Xenopus tropicalis: one gene and its partners. The protein of the gene in region 3 purifies or fractionates together with the protein of the main gene of each other region. This does not show direct contact. Links are inferred from orthologs where the notes say so. Each region holds a gene or a part of one and is shown on either strand. Other genes may lie near its edges. The genes, in order: rack1, pcna, igf1r and arrb1.

Evidence for each region.
Region 1: the proteins of igf1r (region 3) and rack1 purify together in Homo sapiens (affinity purification with western blotting; 4 studies listed by BioGRID, with this or other methods). This does not show direct contact. The link is inferred for Xenopus tropicalis from reciprocal best matches to the Homo sapiens genes IGF1R and RACK1.
Region 2: the proteins of igf1r (region 3) and pcna purify together in Homo sapiens (affinity purification with western blotting; 3 studies listed by BioGRID, with this or other methods). This does not show direct contact. The link is inferred for Xenopus tropicalis from reciprocal best matches to the Homo sapiens genes IGF1R and PCNA.
Region 4: the proteins of igf1r (region 3) and arrb1 purify together in Homo sapiens (affinity purification with western blotting; 3 studies listed by BioGRID and IntAct, with this or other methods). This does not show direct contact. The link is inferred for Xenopus tropicalis from reciprocal best matches to the Homo sapiens genes IGF1R and ARRB1.

Annotation. Positions count from the first base shown.
Region 1 is NC_030684.2:71,557,068-71,561,635, reverse strand, and holds the start of rack1 (receptor of activated protein C kinase 1), read left to right. Parts: upstream 1-1,230; 5' UTR 1,231-1,299; coding exon 1,300-1,408; exon of another isoform or gene 1,409-1,536; intron 1,537-1,895; exon of another isoform or gene 1,896-1,990; intron 1,991-2,165; coding exon 2,166-2,337; intron 2,338-2,701; coding exon 2,702-2,849; intron 2,850-3,035; coding exon 3,036-3,131; intron 3,132-4,165; coding exon 4,166-4,276; intron 4,277-4,568. UniProt on the Homo sapiens protein: Scaffolding protein involved in the recruitment, assembly and/or regulation of a variety of signaling molecules. Interacts with a wide variety of proteins and plays a role in many cellular processes.
Region 2 is NC_030679.2:123,021,933-123,026,606, forward strand, and holds the start of pcna (proliferating cell nuclear antigen), read left to right. Parts: upstream 1-1,474; 5' UTR 1,475-1,591; coding exon 1,592-1,812; intron 1,813-2,872; coding exon 2,873-2,970; intron 2,971-3,755; coding exon 3,756-3,823; intron 3,824-4,184; coding exon 4,185-4,379; intron 4,380-4,604; coding exon 4,605-4,674. UniProt on the Homo sapiens protein: Auxiliary protein of DNA polymerase delta and epsilon, is involved in the control of eukaryotic DNA replication by increasing the polymerase's processibility during elongation of the leading strand.
Region 3 is NC_030679.2:114,970,289-114,975,138, reverse strand, and holds the start of igf1r (insulin-like growth factor 1 receptor), read left to right. Parts: upstream 1-1,879; 5' UTR 1,880-3,248; coding exon 3,249-3,339; intron 3,340-4,850. UniProt on the Homo sapiens protein: Receptor tyrosine kinase which mediates actions of insulin-like growth factor 1 (IGF1). Binds IGF1 with high affinity and IGF2 and insulin (INS) with a lower affinity. The activated IGF1R is involved in cell growth and survival control.
Region 4 is NC_030678.2:175,782,602-175,787,236, forward strand, and holds the start of arrb1 (beta-arrestin-1), read left to right. Parts: upstream 1-1,575; 5' UTR 1,576-1,919; coding exon 1,920-2,065; intron 2,066-4,635. UniProt on the Homo sapiens protein: Functions in regulating agonist-mediated G-protein coupled receptor (GPCR) signaling by mediating both receptor desensitization and resensitization processes.

The DNA of each region.
Region 1 (4,568 bases), on a different chromosome or scaffold from region 3:
ATATATATCAGTAAATATTGCCCAGCTCTAACCGTAACAGGAAGTAGTGTGGGAGTTAAAGACAGAACCCTGTCTATTCATTGGCTGATGGGGCCTAGCATGTATGTGTGCCTTGGCTTGTTTGTGTGCACTGTGAATCCTATGATCCCAGGGGGTGGCCCTTAATTCTTAAAATGGCAATTTTCTATTTATGATTACGCAATAGCACAAACTACTAAAAATGTCTATTTTTATGAAAATGGTTTATTTAGATGAAGCAGGGTTTTACGTATGAGCTTGCTTATGCAATATATTTTTGTAGAGACCTACATTGTTGGGGGCTATAGTTCTCCTTTAATGGTGGTTTCAATCCCAGTTTACAGTTTGGTTCAATCAAAAATAGTGAGAACTTTGCCATAGGCTGCGTGTGGCTTAAAGAGCAGAATTTTTTTTTTTTTATAAGGAAATTGTTCAGTGCAGGAGATACTGCAGTGTCCCTGCCCTAGTTCAGGTGGGGGAGTAAGGAGCAGGGCGCAAGGTGTGGACTATAATGCCAAAAGGTACCCCTACAAACAGAGATAACTCTATAAAGGAGATTCCCCAGTGGTGAAAGAGACCCAGTGGGGCACTGACTAATATAATACATGTAAAGCATGTTTTGAAGCACTTTTAATGTTTCTAATGTTTTATTTCCTGTTTATGACAAAAAAAAACTACTTATGCCTGCCGCCCAGTATCCTCATGATAGTTACGTTTTAAACAACAATATATCCAAGATGTGCGTGTTCCACACTTACGGCAGCTAACATTCCACAACCAATATGGCGCCAGCACACAGTCATATAAGCATGGGAACCCTCTCACGTGTGCTACAATCAGAACGCAAACTAGCCTGCGTACGGTCAGCCTATCCCCGCGATTTCTCTATTTGACAGGGAAAGTAGTCACCAGTTGATTTAATAGCCAATTCTGTTCTAGCGCTTATACCTATGCTTGGAATTCACGTTGTCATTCATATTTTCTTTTTTTGTCTTGTTTTAAAAGATTTTAAAGTAGCGCGATTTTTTAGCCTAAGTTGCACTGTACGACATTCTGCAACTCGCTGCCATGTTGAAACTCGTTTCTGGTGATGTAAACAAGTAATGCATCCGGGTAAAGGCGTCCTGACGCAAGGCGGCGCAGCGCGCTTACGTCAGGACGCCGCTTTGTATAAAAGGCGAGGCGAGGCCTAGTTCAGCCTCTCTTCGGTCGCTTTAGGCCCGGTGTCTACCATCTGTCTCCATCCTTTGCCGGTGGAGCGGTTTCGGACTCATCGCAGCCATGACTGAGCAAATGACACTTCGGGGGACCCTAAAGGGCCATAATGGCTGGGTCACGCAAATCGCGACTACCCCACAATTCCCGGACATGATTCTCAGCTCTTCCAGAGGTGAGATGCATGAGACGCCTACTGTAGCCTATCGATCCACGCAAGTTTATATGCATTGCGGTATCCGGGACCCCGTTTATCGTTAGAACAAGAGCATGAATGCTTACACGTTGCTTTTTTCAGCCCTGGTAAATGTGATTGCTGTAACTACTTAGTGTCGCTGTGTGATATGTTACTGTATCGGGGCTAAAATGGCTCCTCATTCATTATGCGTCATTGGAAGTCCTAACTATAATGAAGCTTTTCTTTATCTGTCGTTTTGATTAGCAAGGGAAAGATGGTGGTAGATTTTGCGGGCTAACTTACCTTTTAATTATGGTGTGAGCGATATATGATGTATAGTGGCAGCTATTGTTTGCTAGAACTTTGTTCCTTAGCCCTTGGTACTGAAGAATTTGCAGGCTGACAATGCCATAGAGTTGTATGAGCAGTGGTGGAAGTGTTTTTTCTTTGCACATCTCATGTCTTCATTTTTCTTGCATACTAGATAACCTCATTCTTCTGGCAGTTTGGGTTGTGCAAAGGAAAAACATCTTCACCTGCTTACAGACATAAAATGAGACACCGTAGACCAATGACAAGGTATGGCATGGCTTCGCTGTGATGGCATGGTTTATTTTGGGAGGGTTACCCCTGTGTGGAACTGCCTTGTTGGAGGTTTACTGCATAGAAGTTGAGGTTACCACTTATTTAAATCAGCAATAGTGTTCTTATGTCCTTTGACTTTTTTTTTTTTTTTTTTTTCCTCTCTGCACAGATAAGACTGTCATCATGTGGAAGCTGACTCGTGATGAAACAAACTATGGGGTTCCACAACGTGCTCTCCGGGGTCACTCCCACTTTGTCAGTGATGTGGTTATCTCTTCAGATGGGCAGTTCGCTCTCTCAGGATCCTGGGATGGAACACTCAGACTGTGGGATCTTACAACGTGAGTACACTTATCCTTGTTCCATTACCTGGCCTGTTAAATGGCTGCTTTTCAGAATGTTCAGCAAAAGTTACTGATCAGCAGCAGGGAATTAGACATGGTTTCAGTACTACAGAATTTGACTTATTACTTGGATAGAAGGAATGACTGGACTAACTTTAGCATTAAGAATCATTTGAGTCCACTTACTGTCAGACCAGAATATCCCTGCAGGGGAAGCATATGACAAAGGACCAGTTAAATAGTAACCTAGGTAGAGGGAAGCTATGAATCTGTCCCTCCCCCTGCAGGGTGGCACAGAAAGGAGTGTTCTGAGGGGAATGGATACTGTCATTTTGTCATCGTGTCAAATATCCCTCTGCAGTGGCACCACCACACGCCGGTTTGTAGGACACACCAAAGATGTCCTGAGTGTCGCTTTCTCTGCTGACAACCGGCAAATTGTGTCTGGATCCCGTGACAAAACAATCAAGCTGTGGAACACTTTAGGCGTTTGTAAATACACTGTGCAGGTATGTATGAGCGTTATAACTATATTTTAGTTCTGTTGGTCCACGTGATTAGAACAATTGTATTCTGAGTGTCTAATATAGGCACACTAATTTCAGGATGACACTCCTGCAATTATGAAGGGACCAAATAAACAGTCATTCTAGGTCTTTTGGCAGGCTGTTTACTAATGAAGCTGTCTTTCTTAGGAGGAATCACATACTGAATGGGTGTCCTGTGTCCGGTTCTCCCCTAACAGCAGTAATCCCATCATTGTATCCTGCGGCTGGGACAAGATGGTGAAGGTGAGTATTTTGGATGCCTCCAGTCTTAATACGGGTTCAGAGTTTTTTTTTTTTTTTTTTTTTTTTTTTTAAATGCATACTTGTTTGGTAAGTAAAGTGTTAAGCAGCTTTAAAGCGTTTTCACTCCCCCTTTAAATAGTGCACTACTGACCCCTCTTAAACAAGTACTAAGAACTAAGCCCTGAAAATAAGTGGCTAGAGATGCCCACTTTTATATACTGAATGTTCAGGTCTTCTGCAGTTGTCACGGGAACTCCCCATCTTGGATTTTATTAGTGTCGGTGACACTCGTGCTCAGTGTGCAGTTGAGATGCTAAGTCTAGGGGTTGTCGCAAATTTTCTAGCCTGTCAATAGTTCTAAGCTCGGGAAACAGAACAGAACAGAACATGTGCAGTGAATCATCAGAAAAGATGGGAAGCTACTGGGGCACATTACTTCTAAAGGGCTATGATTTCCTAGGGCTGTTACAAAAGCGCAAAACACATAATGTAAAAATAATTATGCCCTACTTCTGTAGTTAATCTTGCAGCTCTGCTTTCAGCCCCCATACATGGGCCTACCAGACACAGCATTTGAGTGATGAATGAATATTGTAGTGGCAGTACATGTGTGGCTTTTTTTTCTATTCAGTGTCGACACTGAACAAATTAGACAAATTGCAGAGTTGCTGCTTCCCTTCTGGCTGACTGGAAATTGGCCATGAGGACTGCTGATCCTTGATCTACCAGAATCATGGAATTATTTATCTTCCCCCCCCCCCCCCCCCCATCCTTTTGTATTGGCTATATAGGCACACAAAGTAGGCCCATATGGTCAAAATTGGCCAAACTACCCTACCAAGTCATGGCCAGTATCCTCTTGCACCTTTTTAAGAATACCATATGGTACAGGTTGTTTACTATATGAAATCTTTCTCTCCATAGTTTAACATCTGTGGATATGTACATAGTGCATTTAATCTTTTTTTTCTGTGTACACATCCTTGGATTCCAGTAGCCTATAGTTGTATTCTAAATGACTTTTCTTATTTCAGGTCTGGAATCTGGCCAATTGCAAACTGAAGACCAACCACATTGGTCACAGTGGTTACTTGAACACTGTTACGGTGTCACCTGATGGGTCTCTGTGTGCTTCTGGAGGCAAGGTACGAAACGTCACTTGATAGAGAAGTAGTTGGACTAGAATGGTTATGAGGCATTAGTTTTTGAATAGGATGAATTGAGCATGCAGTTTGCAAGCTTGGATCTTTGGCCTAAAATGTGATCTGCAAAATGTGAGGTATAATAGGCATTAATAGAAAGATGGTTAAAATAACAAAGTTTGGTTCCCTGTCCTTAAGATCCTACAGTATAGACTGGTAAAAGGTTTGAGCTTACAGAAACTATTGAAATGAGATGAATCCTAGTTGAGTTTAGGATGTAGCAGGTGTAGGGTTT
Region 2 (4,674 bases), about 8.1 Mb from region 3:
TCATCAGATAGGGGTAGAATTATTTTATTTCTAACTACATATCTGACAATTCAGCTCTGAATGATAGAGGAGGGTATGACCAATGGTTGCAGGAAAGATTATAATTGTAATGTGTATGGCCACCATAAGACTTTCCCTTAACCAGATTAGTTAGAATGGGTTTACAACAGCAATGATCAACAGCAGTCTGTAGGATGCTGCATAAGGATGAGTGAAGCCTCAAAATGTAATTTACAAAGAATATGTTACGAATCCAAACAAATTGCTCCAAAAAGTCTGTGTCTGATTTAATACAAGACCTATATTCGTTCTGGTGACAGTCACAATATATTGGCTGTGCCTTGATCTTGCAGATGGTGCAATTTTTTGATCTTGTGGATGGTAGTACTCACAGAGCCTCAGGGGATTTTACTTAACCCTGAGTCCATTTGAGCTTCAACACTGGCTGTTCTGGGGCAGTAGAGCTTTTGTTTTTTGGCCTACAAACAAGGCTGGAACACTTAGGGGCTAATTCATTAAACCATGATTTTTGGGTGGTTAAAATCATGATTGGAAAAAATTCGGAGTAACCACAAAAATTCTTTTCTCGTACGAAAATATCGTGGTTGCGTTCCGAATTTTCGGATCTGAACGTTCGTAAACAGTGTGAAAACCTTTCTGGCTTTCATAGTCTTCCATAGGACTCAATGGCACAGATCCAACCTGGCCAAAAGATAGTAAGATAGTTTACCAAATTGAATTCCGAAATGGTTGTAGTCTTTCCAACTTTTTGGTAGAAGTTAACGAAAACCATGAAAAAGTCATGGAATTTTAACAAAATTATTGTGGACATTGTGAAAAGTTCTACAAATTAGAAAGAATAAGATTTTTTCTCAAAAACAAAAAGATTGTGGTTTAATGAATGGGCCCTATAATTTTGCAAGTATTCTGGCCTTCGCAGCATGCATTCCTATATTTATATCTCCACCATTAATTACATTGGCATCAAGCATTATTTTTACAGGCCAGGGCAGTAAAATTTTGGGCTCAGGTGGCAGCCCTGGGGTAGGGAGTAAAGGTGGTAGAGAGTGATTGGAGGTGTAATGGGGCATGATAGTAAAAAATGTAAAACATAGAACTAATATGTCTGCGGTTTAATATATAAAAAAATTAATGACCCCATCCTTTCTGCATTTTCAGGGCCCCAGTAACTAAATGTCCTTTGGGTCTGTTGTCACTGACCAGAACTAGTATAGCTAATCCAACAAATTACAGTTATTTATATTTATTTTTCATATTTATTAGGTGTAGAGTTCATAATGGGGCACAAGCAAAGCTTATATAACGGAGACCATGGTGTTTCAGTGACAGGGACTGACTGCACAAGGAAAGATATGAGGGGGCGGGTCATAATTTTGGCGCCTTACATTCGTATAGTGACATCACCACTATAATATAAGCGGCGGAAGGCCGGCTGGCGGGCTCATTTTGGCGCCGGAGCTTCAGTTGGGAGGAGGTACCACAGAGGTACTAGGGAATTCAGCTACTGAGCTCCGCCATCTGCACCCCCGGCACACTTCTCTCTTTCCCCCAGCTCCGTACAGCCGTCACCATGTTTGAAGCTCGCTTGGTGCAGGGTTCCATCCTGAAGAAAGTGCTGGAGGCCCTGAAGGACCTGATCGATGAGGCGTGCTGGGACATCACATCGAGCGGCATCAGCTTGCAGAGCATGGACTCCTCGCACGTCTCGTTGGTGCAGCTCACTCTGCGATCGGACGGCTTTGACACCTACAGGTGCGATCGCAATCAATCCATCGGCGTCAAGATGAGCAGGTAAGGAAGCTATGTGGGCGCTTAGTAAGTGCGCAGCACTGCGGAGATCACTAGTTGAAGGGACGGGCTAGTGCGGCAGGCTTAATGCGTCCAGACTTTACTATTGGGTACACGTAGCGCGATACACGCTCTCATTTTATTGTATTTGGCGCAAATATGTATTCCATACATACATATTCCCCCCCCCCTCTGTCATGGACTTGGCCGATCTACTCCCCCCCCCCCCGCCTCTGTCATGGACTTGTCCGTTCAAGTCTCAGTGATTGCGCGCGCAACCTGGCTTCCCGCGTGACGTCACATACGCGCCAACTTCAACAAAGCCGCCGGCTTGGCGGGAAACCGGCTCATTGTGCCAAGCTTCAGCAGTGCGGCCACTCTAATCCAAATGCCACAGGATAGTTGGAAAATAAGAATTTTATCAATGAACCGAAATAAAATTATTTTCCTTAGTGTTGCCTCACTTTGTCTAACACTTCCCCTACACTTCACTGAGGCCCACAGCTGCTCAGTGTCTTTTCTTTAATGGGCCCTCATGGGTTCTATGTATATCTTTATAAAGCGCTACTTATGTACTCAGCGCTGTACAGTAAAATACATTAATACAAATGGGGTTAAGATAATAGATACATACAAAGTATAACAATAAATACAAGATACAGCTGCAATAAGTTAAGAGTCAAAGAGACAAGAGAATGGAGGTCCCTGCCCCATATAGCTTACAATCTATATAAAAAGGTAAAAGGAATACGCTGCTGTATGCATCTGGAGTGTTGGAAAGCTCCTTCAATGGGGATTTTTTTGTGCCGCCTTGCTTAGACAGGGCCCCTGGTTTACTCGGATTGTAAGCTCTACGGGGCAGGGACCTCCTTCCTATATATATATATATATATCTTGTCCTCCCTGTGTGTAAGCTGCGTACCCTTGTGGTGCTTTATAAATAAAGTTATACATACATACATTGGAGTAAAATGCCCAGGTTGCTTACCAAGATGTCTACCTTTGCCAGTCTCCTGTTTGGCATTATATATAACTATATATCTATCTTTACTTTTTTTCACAGTATGTCTAAGATCTTGAAGTGTGCTGCAAGTGAAGATATCATTACTCTGAGGGCAGAAGACAATGCTGATACAGTTACAATGGTGTTTGAGTCGCCAAGTGAGTATTTGCAACATTACACTTTGGTTTTCATACCCTTCATGCCAATAAGTAAATTCTTTATTATAGTAGCTTGGTGCTTATTTCATTGGCTTGGAAGGCAGGGCTAAAACAGTTATAGGTAATGGAACTTTTTAATGGATTTTTATAACTATAGTATCTTGATTAATTTGTGCTAAAATAGAAACAAGAAATGCTTGAATTACTGATTATACTGTACCAGCCTTCAAAGTTGTACAAAGCAGGTAGCCATCTTGGCTCTTTTTGTGGCCTTGTAAAATTTCCTTCTGACATCAAACCATGTTAAATTCTGATCCAGAAGGCACTGGTCACTACTGATAATAAATTAAATTAAATTAGGCTTATGTTTTAAATTAGTGTGCATATACTGTATATTTGTGCAGTTTAGAAGTGAAGTTTAGGGGTTGTTGTAAATCATTAAAAAAAAAAAAAAACTAGGTTTCTGTCATAGCTATTACAGGGCATTATTAAATTCTAATGCTAATTGCACTGGTTTTTAAGGTGCCAGTGATAAGAATCTGAAATACTATTCAGCCTTATCTTGTGACGTTTATATTCCATATATGTACAGTATATTGTCGGTCCCTAAGCACAGAGCATGGGCAGTGAATCAGCAGAAAAGATGTGGAAGCTATTTGAGGGCACATATCTTCCCTGCTAAAGGGCCGTGTTTGCCTTGGGCTGGTACAGAACCTCAAACAGTGAAGCATTTCTGCCCAACGTTTTTGTTCTGCTTAAGTTTAACTTAAATGTTTTTAATTTAGATCAAGAGAAAGTTTCTGACTATGAAATGAAGCTAATGGACCTTGATGTGGAGCAGCTGGGCATTCCTGTAAGTATATTTTTTTAATGTTTAAGTTGTTGCTGATTTTTGTCTGCTTACAAAACAGATTCGCTAGGATCACTGTTCAAAACGTAACTGGACACTTTTTGATTGTCTATTAGTTATTGCAAAATTTAAACCCAAAGCAGTGTACACTCAGTTTGTACACTTCAGTTGTTTTGGTTTTTATAGTTCCAGTCTTGGGGTTTCACAAAGTTCTAAGGGGGTAATATACATGCTGCTTGTAGAAACTCCCCTTCCTCTGTACCCATGGCAGTTATGTGACCTCTTATGCCAGTCTAAAGTAACCCTGTCTAATGCAGTTAATTTTGGATTGCACTCTGCTAAATTGTCTGGTTTCTCATGACAGGAACAAGAGTACAGCTGTGTAATAAAGATGCCATCTGGTGAATTTGCACGCATCTGCAGAGATCTAAGCCAGATTGGTGACGCAGTTGTTATTTCTTGTGCAAAGGATGGGGTAAAGTTCTCTGCAAGTGGAGAGCTGGGCACTGGAAACGTAAAGCTGTCACAAACTTCAAATGTGGATAAAGAGGAGGAAGCTGTAAGTGTTTCAAAACCTATAGTGTCATTTTGAAATGTAATAGTGCCACTGTATATAGATGTGACAAGGTTCCCCCAGTGTGACCCTTGGTTAATTCCCACGTTGTACACTTTCCTTCAACCCCAAGTAATAGTAGACAAGACCACAGCAAGTCATAGCTTTAAAACTTTGTTAGACTTGAAGTGACCATTGTTTTTTTTTTTTTTTTTTTTTCTTGTTTACCAGGTTACAATAGAAATGAATGAGCCAGTACAGCTTACATTTGCTTTGCGGTACCTGAACTTCTTTACCAAAG
Region 3 (4,850 bases):
TTCAGCTGTTGATGCACCATTCACTTGCTAACATGGCACATCAGGAGATTAACTTTTAAACATTATCTGTGATCTGACAGAATCACAGGATTTTCCCAGTGAACTAACCTCTCCTCCCAACCTGGCATCTGTGGACAGATAATGAAGCAGTATTATTGAAGTTGGCTAAATTGGCCAGCCAAATCTGGGCACGTATTGCCCCAGACTCAAGTTAGCTAAGCTTGTCAATAAGACCAACAGTAGCAAGAAATCATATAGAAAAAGGAAAACAAGTGCTGATGAAGAGTCCCTAAATAAAATGAGCATGCTGCTGTTGTTGTTTGGATTACTCTCAATGTACAAGTTAGCCCAAGCCTGCGTCTCGTGTTGAGCTACAGCTCCAAATGCTTTCTTGTCCCCTAACAAAGTTAAATATCCCTGCCTTAAAGAGTAAATATGTCCTGAATGTAAGTTTTGTTTTAAAGTGGCAGAATGCCACTGACTGAACGCTTATTTTCATGCAACTTTCTCCTAAAAATAACATAAAATCTCCAGCACAAGAGTTATTTAGAGCACTTACACAGTAGTATGTAATGATTAGCTATGTTTATCCCTTTGTAATCACCTGTCATTTTTTTTTTCATACAAAACACAATGGGTTAATTTATTAACGCTTGCGATGTGGTCTTGCAAGGTAATTATTTTACTTTTATTTAAACTTTGTACCTTCTTGGGTTTTTATTGTGTCTATGATTAAGTGCACATGAAACGCATCAGGCGTGATGCTTTTAAATGGATAAAGTTAAAGGGATTCTGTCATGACTTTTAGGATGAAGACACACTGAGCTACTAGTAGTAACTACTTACGTGGCTACAAAAATAGACAATGCTGATCATTTACTGATAATTTCTCTACGTGTGCTTTAGCAGAGGCAATTCTCAGTATTGTTAGGAGTCTAGTAGCTGTGAAAAAGTAGCTGCTACTACTAGCTCAGTGTGTCTTCACCCTTATGATATAGTTTTATTACTATATTACACTGTTCACATTGCAAATAATCCATTCTACGATTTAAAATTGCATTTTTGAACAAATAAATGTATATTTTTTAGCTGTAATACTGGTAATACTGGTGTGTAGGCGCCACCTGAGTCTGAACATTCAGAAGGAGCCAGAGCTACACATTAGAACTGCTTTCAGGTAACCTATTGTTTCTCCTACTCCTATGTAACTGGAGGAGTCCCAAGCCGGACTTGGATTTCTTACTATTGAGTGCTATTCTGATACCTACTGGGAGCTGCTATCTTGCTCCCTCCCAATTGTTTTGCTGATCGCTGCTGGAAGGGAAGTGATATCACTCCAACTTGCAGCTCAGCAGTAAAGTGTGACTGAAGTTTATCAAATCACAGGACACATGGCTGTGGCACCCTGGGAAATGAAGAATATGGCTAGCCCCATGTGAAATTTCAAAAGTAAATATACAAATGTTTGAAAAGTGGATTTCAATGCAGGATTCTGCTGGTGAATTTCTATTAACTGATGCATTTTGGAAAAAAAAACCCCAAAAACATATTTTCCCTTGACAGAATCCCTCTAATTTTTTACCCGACATCCTTTTGGTCAGTTGGTGAATGAAAGCCGCTTTGATTGATTAAAATGTGGCAGAACGCCACTTATTGAAATCTTATTTTCATGCTATTGTCCCCTCAAACGACAAACAGTAAAGTCGCCAGCACAAGGGCTATCTAAACGGAAGCACCTACACAGTAGTGCAGCCCTTATTGCTGAGCCCTGATGGAGGGTAAACAAAGCCTGTGTCATCAGGTACCACAAGATCAGTACCAATGGGCCATGGGATCATTACTCATAGAACATTATAAATAATAATAACTAAATAAGGTTTAGTAATTTGTTTTAATTTTACCCCACCAATTATACATTTTAATTTCATGGTAGTATAAGGGCCATCATGTATGCTCTCTTACCTATTGTCTCTATAAACACATATAATTATATACCAATGTTTTTGGATGTTAGGTGTATAAATAATATAATATATATATGAACAAATGAGAAATGCCCCCAGAAGAAGTAGTATGTTGTTGTTGTTGTTATTACGCACTAGGAAGCTGCCTGGCGCTAGTATGTGGGGATAAGGGATGCCTGTACTGACTATGAGGAGTGAGTAGATGGGTGAGTGGGGAGGCAATGCCTGAGCGCAGTATTGGATTCCCGGGCGAGTCCAGTGCAGCGGGAGTAGCTCCCCAGTCCTGGCTTTGCAGACAGCCCAGTGTGTGAGTCTGTGCGTGTGTGAGAGAGAGAGAGAGAGAGTGTGCGGCTCAGGCTCTTGTTTACAGCATTAGCGCCGCGCACACACACACACACTGAGAGGAGATCCCAATGAGAGAGGCTCGGTGGCGGCGGCGGCCCGGGGATCCCTACACACGGACGGCAAGCAGCGGGAGAGCAGCCCGTACGCAGCTTTAAGCCTCTCGGGCTTTATCCTAGGGCTGAAGAGAATCGCTCGGACGGCGGCGAGTCGGGCGGGCCGAGATACTCTCCTCCATTCATTGGTCCGGCGGGTGTGCAGCGGCCTCCTGCCGTGGGATAGCGGATTGTGCCCGGGGCTGACATGGAGGGAGAGGAGGGCGAGGTGCGGGCTTCGGGTTTCTCCCATCAGCTTCCTCCGTGCGGCCGGTTCCAGCGGCGGGACTGACACACTGTGCGCCGGGGAGATACACGTTACCCTGCGGGACTGAGGAGCCGCACACTTACCCTTGGATTTACCCAGCATCAGGCGGATTTCATAGCGCCCCCTCAGGCCAGGGATATACTGCCACCGGGGAGTAGGGGAGATACGCAGAGTAACAAGAGCGAAGAAACCCATTGGATAACGGGGCCCAATTCCTCGTAGTGGGCGGCGCCTGTTTCGTAGCTGCCAGAGAACCCCAAGTAACCCCCTTGTCCCTCTGCCTATCAGTCAGGGCAGTGGGGAGGGGGGGAACTGTGGAGCTCAGGGGCTCCCCCTGGAGTTGGTGCCGGCCGCTGCTCTGCCAGTACAACTTGGCCAGTCCGCTCAATAATCCACGTTTCACGATCCAAGCAGGTTCCAGAGCAAGGTGACCCGGGAATTCCAGGGCTTGTGGTCCAGGTAGAAAGGACCGGCGGCGCCATTTTTGTTATTCCGGGCCAGGGGGGAGTTCCTGGCAGAGTGCATGAGCATTTCCTCGGATTCCCTGAGTGGGCTGTACGCGGGGACTTGTTTGTGGACATGAAGGCCGGATTGGTGCCTGCTTGTACGGCCTGGATCCCGGGGGTCCTCGTCCTCCTCCTTCTGTGCCTGGGACCGTCGGCTGGGAGAGGTGAGTGTCCTGTAGCCCCCCGGTACCCCGGGCACATGGGGCTCCCACGCAGTGTGGGAAGTGTCGCTGCGTCAGGCTGCACGTATGGCTGCTGTGGTGCGCATCAGTGGGGAGCAAAGATTTGGGGCCGCACTTTCTCTACTCTTTGGCCCGAATCCCACCTGCTGTTGTTTCCCCATTACTAGTACGCAGCTCCCCTCAGTGTTGGCCTTTAGGGGCCCCAGAGAGCCATCAATCATTCCAGTATTAGAGATATGAGCTGTCAGTGTCCCTAAGCTCCCAATGTGCAGCACCAGGGATGCCCAATCTGCAGCCTTTTGTGTGTGTGTGTGGGAGAATGCTGGGAGCTGTAGTCCACAACAGCCGAATAACTGCAGGTTGGACATCATTGCCCCCTTCCTGCTAAATGTTTTGGCATCTGAGTGTACATCAGCATTGGGTCTCTCTTTCCTCTCTCATCTTCATCTGTTGTGTGGGGAATTGTATGGATGCGAGTGACTTGCTCAGACTGCACACTCTCGTCTCATAACTGCATGTGCGTTGCACTAATGGATAACCACACACGCTGCATAGCTCCCATCTCCATGCTTCAGGTACCAATCTCTCCCAATGCTGCTGCAGCACATTTTAAATATTATACAGCTTGGTGCTGTAGTCTAGAAATCTCCAAACTTGCTTCTGTTGGACTACAGATACCAGCATTCCAATGGGAGCTGTTGAATAACTATTGCCCTTCCCCTGATTTCAGTCGCTCGTTTGCAGTAAATGCAGCCACTGTTTTGATAACTTGTAAGCTCATCATTGGAATTGTAGCCATCCTATAAATCTCAGGTCATGCTGGCTTGTGTAGCCAGGCAGCAGTGGCCCATCCCTGCTTCGGTATGGGTAGTTTGGGCTTTCTGTGGAGAAGGACCGTGGACTTGCCCTTATGTCTCAGATTTTTATGACAGGTCTGAAGTTTGAGATTCTCATGCATCTAGTTGCATTCTAGTCCACACTGTTTGTACTGTAAGTATTGGTGCTACTGAGTGATATTGCTTGGGAGATGCAGTAACATGTATATAAGACTTCACCTCAAGGATGTGACAGTTTAACCTTTTACCCACTAGTTTAGTTACTGTTTTTTTATGTTGTCGGCAACTGATGCACCATGATGCTTGCATCCAGCAACCTCTCCACTGACACAAAGTTGCAGTCGTTATGACTTCTATGCACCCAAGATTATTCTTATCAAAACCATGCAATGGCTATAATGATACAGGGGCTGGTAGCATATATGTAACACATTAAGCACCTATGTGCAGAGATAGATAAATATATGGGGAAAACTTCATCATGCTGCACCAGTCCCCGATAAGTGTTGGCAAAGATATAAAAACAATTATTACAGGTGATTAAATCTTGATTTCTTCCCTCCCTTCTATTTCCCCTTTAGTTTATTTTTTATGCCTGTCCCAAATTGTGTGGTCCATGCCAAGATTTGTTACCGTCTCAGGCACCTTGTTTAGGAG
Region 4 (4,635 bases), on a different chromosome or scaffold from region 3:
GGCCTCACAACATGGCATTTATGGGCACAACTCCATGGCATATGGAACGGAAGTTGTTGTTGGCTTTTGCAGCCACTGCCTGGCACTGAGCTCCTCTCCTGAGTTTACTTCTGAGTTATTTTCATATCTCTCCATAGTTTCCCTTTGGGTGGTCCTTCCGGGGTGACACCCAAAGGTGTTTATTCCTCGTACTAGACCAGGCCTCACAACATGGCATTTATGGGCACAACTCCATGGCATATGGAACGGAAGTTGTTGTTGGCTTTTGCAGCCACTGCCTGGCACTGAGCTCCTCTGCTTAGTTTACTTCTGAGTTATTTTCATATCTCCCCATAGTTTCCCTTTGGGTGGTCCTTGCGGGGTGACACCCAAAGGTGTTTATACCACGTACTAGACCAGGCCTCACAACATGGCATTTATGGGCACAACTCCATGGCATATGGAACGGAAGTTGTTGTTGGCTTTTGCAGCCACTGCCTGGCACTGAGCTCTTCTGCTGAGTATTTTTCTGTGTTATTTTCATATCTCTCCATAGTTTCCCTTTGGGTGGTCCTTCTGGGGTGACACCCAAAGGTGCTTATACCTTCCGTGTACTAGACCAGGCCTCACAACATGGCATTTATGGGCAAAACTCCATGGCATGTGGAACAGAAGTTGTTGTTGGCTTTTGCAGTCACTGCCTGGCACTGAGCTCTTTTGCTGAATTTACTTCAGCATATCTCTCCATAGTTTCCCCGTTTGGATGACATTTAGCGGCTTTGATTTTATTCCCAAAATATAAACCAGACATTCATCTCCATGGATTGTGACCTTACGTTCACTCGCCCTGACTATTCCCAAACCCCTCAACGGAATTTATTTCTCTATTTTCTCCAGAGATTGATGCTTTTGGCCCACATCCAGACTTGGGGTTTTGTTTTTATAATACTCTTGTATGTGTTTTTGTATTTGTATGATTTAAAGGCAAAGTATTCTATTATTTGAATTGTGTTTTGTTTTGTTTATTTTGCCTGTTTCTGGTCCTGACTACATGCACCTCTCCCCCAGGCCTACACTCTAATTCCAACAGCAGAGATAGGAACCCTGCTTACTGGGCTGCCCTGGGAAATATGTTGTACAAGCAAAGCTAATTCACCTTTAAAGCATCTTGCCATACTTTCTTTATTTTGGTCCTGTTTCCATCATTTCCCACTGCTTCTATCCTGACCTACTGTCTCCATCTTGCCCTACTGTCTCCATCTTGCCCTACTGTCTCCATCTTGCCCTACTGTCTCCCATCTTGCCCTACTGTCTTCATTTTGCCCTACTGTCTCCATCTTGCCCTACTGTCTCCATCTTGCCCTACTGTCTCCATCTTGCCCTACTGTCTCCATCTTGCCCTACTGCCTCCATCTTGTCCTACTGTCCCCATCTTGCCCTACTGTCTCCATCATGACCTACTGTCGCCCTCTTGCCCTATTGACCATTGCCCTATCTTACCATTCTTCCTATCCCACTGTCTCCATCATATCTTACAATCCCCATTGTATCTTGCTGTTGCCATTTTGCTGGGGGGAATATTTGGGCCCCCTATCTCTGTCTCTGCATTCCCGCTGGCTGGGGAGGGTCTCACCCATACCCGCGGGAGGCTGCAGAGATTTGATATGCTGGTGTTGTGCCCGCGGCACGCTGTACTGCCGATGACGACACGAGCCAATCAGACTTGCACGCAGGGCATAACACAGTAAATGGGAGAATTTTGATGCAGCTGCTTGGATTGAGAGAGAGCGAGAGAGCGAGAGAGCGGCTGAGATTCCAGCCCGTGGGTAGTCGCTGCCATTGGAGAGAATAAAGGAATCAGTGGGGGGGAGAGAGCTGAGAGGGAAGGGACCGTCGCACACCTCGCTGGCTGGCAGGGCTGCAGTGATGCCGGTGCCTAGATGGATTACATGTGGATTGACAGCCCGTACCTAAGGATCAGAACCGTATTGGAGGAGTCGGTTCCTGCTTGCGTGGTGGCACCGCTGGGAATCCGCTGTGGGGAGCTGGAAGCCCACAAGGCCGCGCCAATGGAGAACGTATTTCTGTGAGTAAGGACAGGTCTGTGGCACAATGTGTGTCGGACTGGGCACAAGGAATCACCCACAGCGATGCCCCCTCGTGCCAACATGACCCCCGGGGTGTTACCTCTAATGAGCAAATCCCACTGTTATTCCCCTTAATGCCCGGTGCTTGCAGTGCCCCCTCTTTCTGTGGCCGGGCTGCCTTTAGTGCCCTGCAGTTTGTGTGGCCCCCAAGCTGTATGCAAAGGGACCCTCAGGGATTGGCTGTAACTGTAGTATAGTGTGTATAGTAAGGCAAGATGGGGCTCGGCATAGGGGCTACAGTGCTGGACAGTGTGCAGAATAAGGTAAGGTGGTGCCAGGAGAAGGGGCTCTAACTATGGCATAATGTGTATAGTAAGGCAAGATGGCACTCGGCATAGGGGCTACAGTGCCAGGAGAAGGGGCTCTAACTATGGCATAATGTGTATAGTAGGCAAGATGGCACTCGGCATAGGGGCTACAGTGCCAGGAGAAGGGGCTCTAACTATGGCATAATGTGTATAGTAAGGCAAGATGGCACTCGGCATAGGGGCTACAGTGCCAGGAGAAGGGGCTCTAACTATGGCATAATGTGTATAGTAGGCAAGATGGCACTCGGCATAGGGGCTACAGTGCCAGGAGAAGGGGCTCTAACTATGGCATAATGTGTATAGTAAGGCAAGATGATGGTAGGTGTACAGGCTGTAACTGGGGGGGGATGCTATGAAATGTAGAAATATGTAATAGGCTGCAGGGGGGCCCCGTAACTTGGCACAACCCTGCCCTGTTCTGGTATAGAGTTTGCACCCTTTGTGCACTGGCACCTCATTCCCAGTGGAACCCATTGGGCACGTAACCCCTAAAGGACTTGTGTCACTGGGAAGCTCTTGGAATACAGAAATGACGTCACAATAGTGCGGCCAATAATGTCATTTAATGGGGCTCTTGGCATTTTAGCAGCTATATGGTCGATAGGGTCCAAATTATCTTAGCAACCAGGCAGTGGTTGGAATGAGAGACTGGGATACGAATAGAAGTGGGACTGAATAGAAAGAAAAGTTACAGAGCTGTAACAATAAAACTGTGGCCGCACAGAGCAATGGGTCATTGGTTCCCAAGAGCACAATGGAGGCAATTCATTGGCTGAGTGACAGTGGGATGTGCAATCTGGCGGGGGGGGGGTGGGGGTCATATAATTAGATTAGGGCTGATAAGAGGATTAGCGTTAGGGAGAGTGGGATAAATATATAAGGCGCTTTGGCTGAGCAATGAAGCCTTTGGGGTAATTACCTTCCTTATCCGCTGGCCCAATCCGGGGCAACTGGAAGTGACCTGGATATTTAGGTGCTCTAATACCATCCAAGGCTGTAGTTGTATAACCAGGCACCCATGGGTGCTATAATTGGGCTCCCAAAACCTCTATTCGAAGTCTGGGAGCCCATTGGCCCTGTGACTTGTATCTTTCTGGGTGCAATTAAGGACTCAGCAGCAGGGGAGGGGGGTGACTGGTCTGGGGCCCAATCACAGTGCAGGGACGGGGCCATAGCCATTGTCATAGGACTGCAAAAGGTACAGGGTTTGCTGGTGAGATGGGCAGGGGTCTGGGCAGGTAAGAGGGTAACAGGGCAGACTGGGGGTTTTGCTATGTATGTACCTAGCCTTGGTTACATGGATTCTAGGGCTCAGGGCCTGTGTGTGGGCGGGGGGGCTAATAACCCAGGCTCCATTGTGGGGAAAGCCCTGCTGATAGCATGTGGCCCAGTCATCTGTCGGACCTGCCAAATATCCTGCATTTTTGCCCCCCGTATATTTAATGGTGATATAAACCCAGCCATGATGCTGCCCCACGGCGCCCCCTAGTTTTGCTATAGAAGCTGCCAAAAACCATCATTACAGATGCAAGGAAATTCCCCAATGAGAATTGTACTGATAAATAAGTTGATTATAAATGCAAAAGAACTGCCCAGTGAGAATGCTGATTCCCAGCACTGTGTCAGGCCCCTTGCTGGTACCTTACATATAGAGATAATGATGGCATTTTCTCCCCTCATTATATGGCACAGGAATCAGACATGGGGATAAAGGGACAGACTTGTTCAGTGCTGGGAAACTGTGCTTATTGCTCCCAACTCCAATTGCAGGAACAGAGAACAGGGAGCCGGATTTACTCACATCAGCTGGGATTCTCATTGGAGGATTTTTCGCATGTTAAAGCAGTCGCTGGCTGTGGGGATTTGGGGGAAAGTTTTATTGTGCAATATTGCTTTAAGAATACAGCCCTGATGTTGCTGGACTACAGCTCCCAGCATGCCCCAAGCTTCATTATATGTTACATTATTGTGGGATTTGTAGCCCAGTAACAACTGAGTAACGTTGGGTTGAGCCGCGCTGGGCAGCAGGGTTTGTATCCCCTTTAACCTTGGGTGAGCCAATGAGAGTACATGGTCAGGGAATAATCAGGAGTGGCTGGGACATGGCCATTAGGGGGGCACAGGGGGAGTCCAACCAGTTGTTATATAACTGCCCCCCCAGGTGAGCCTTTGCCCCCCCGCCAGTCATATGAGTGCATTTA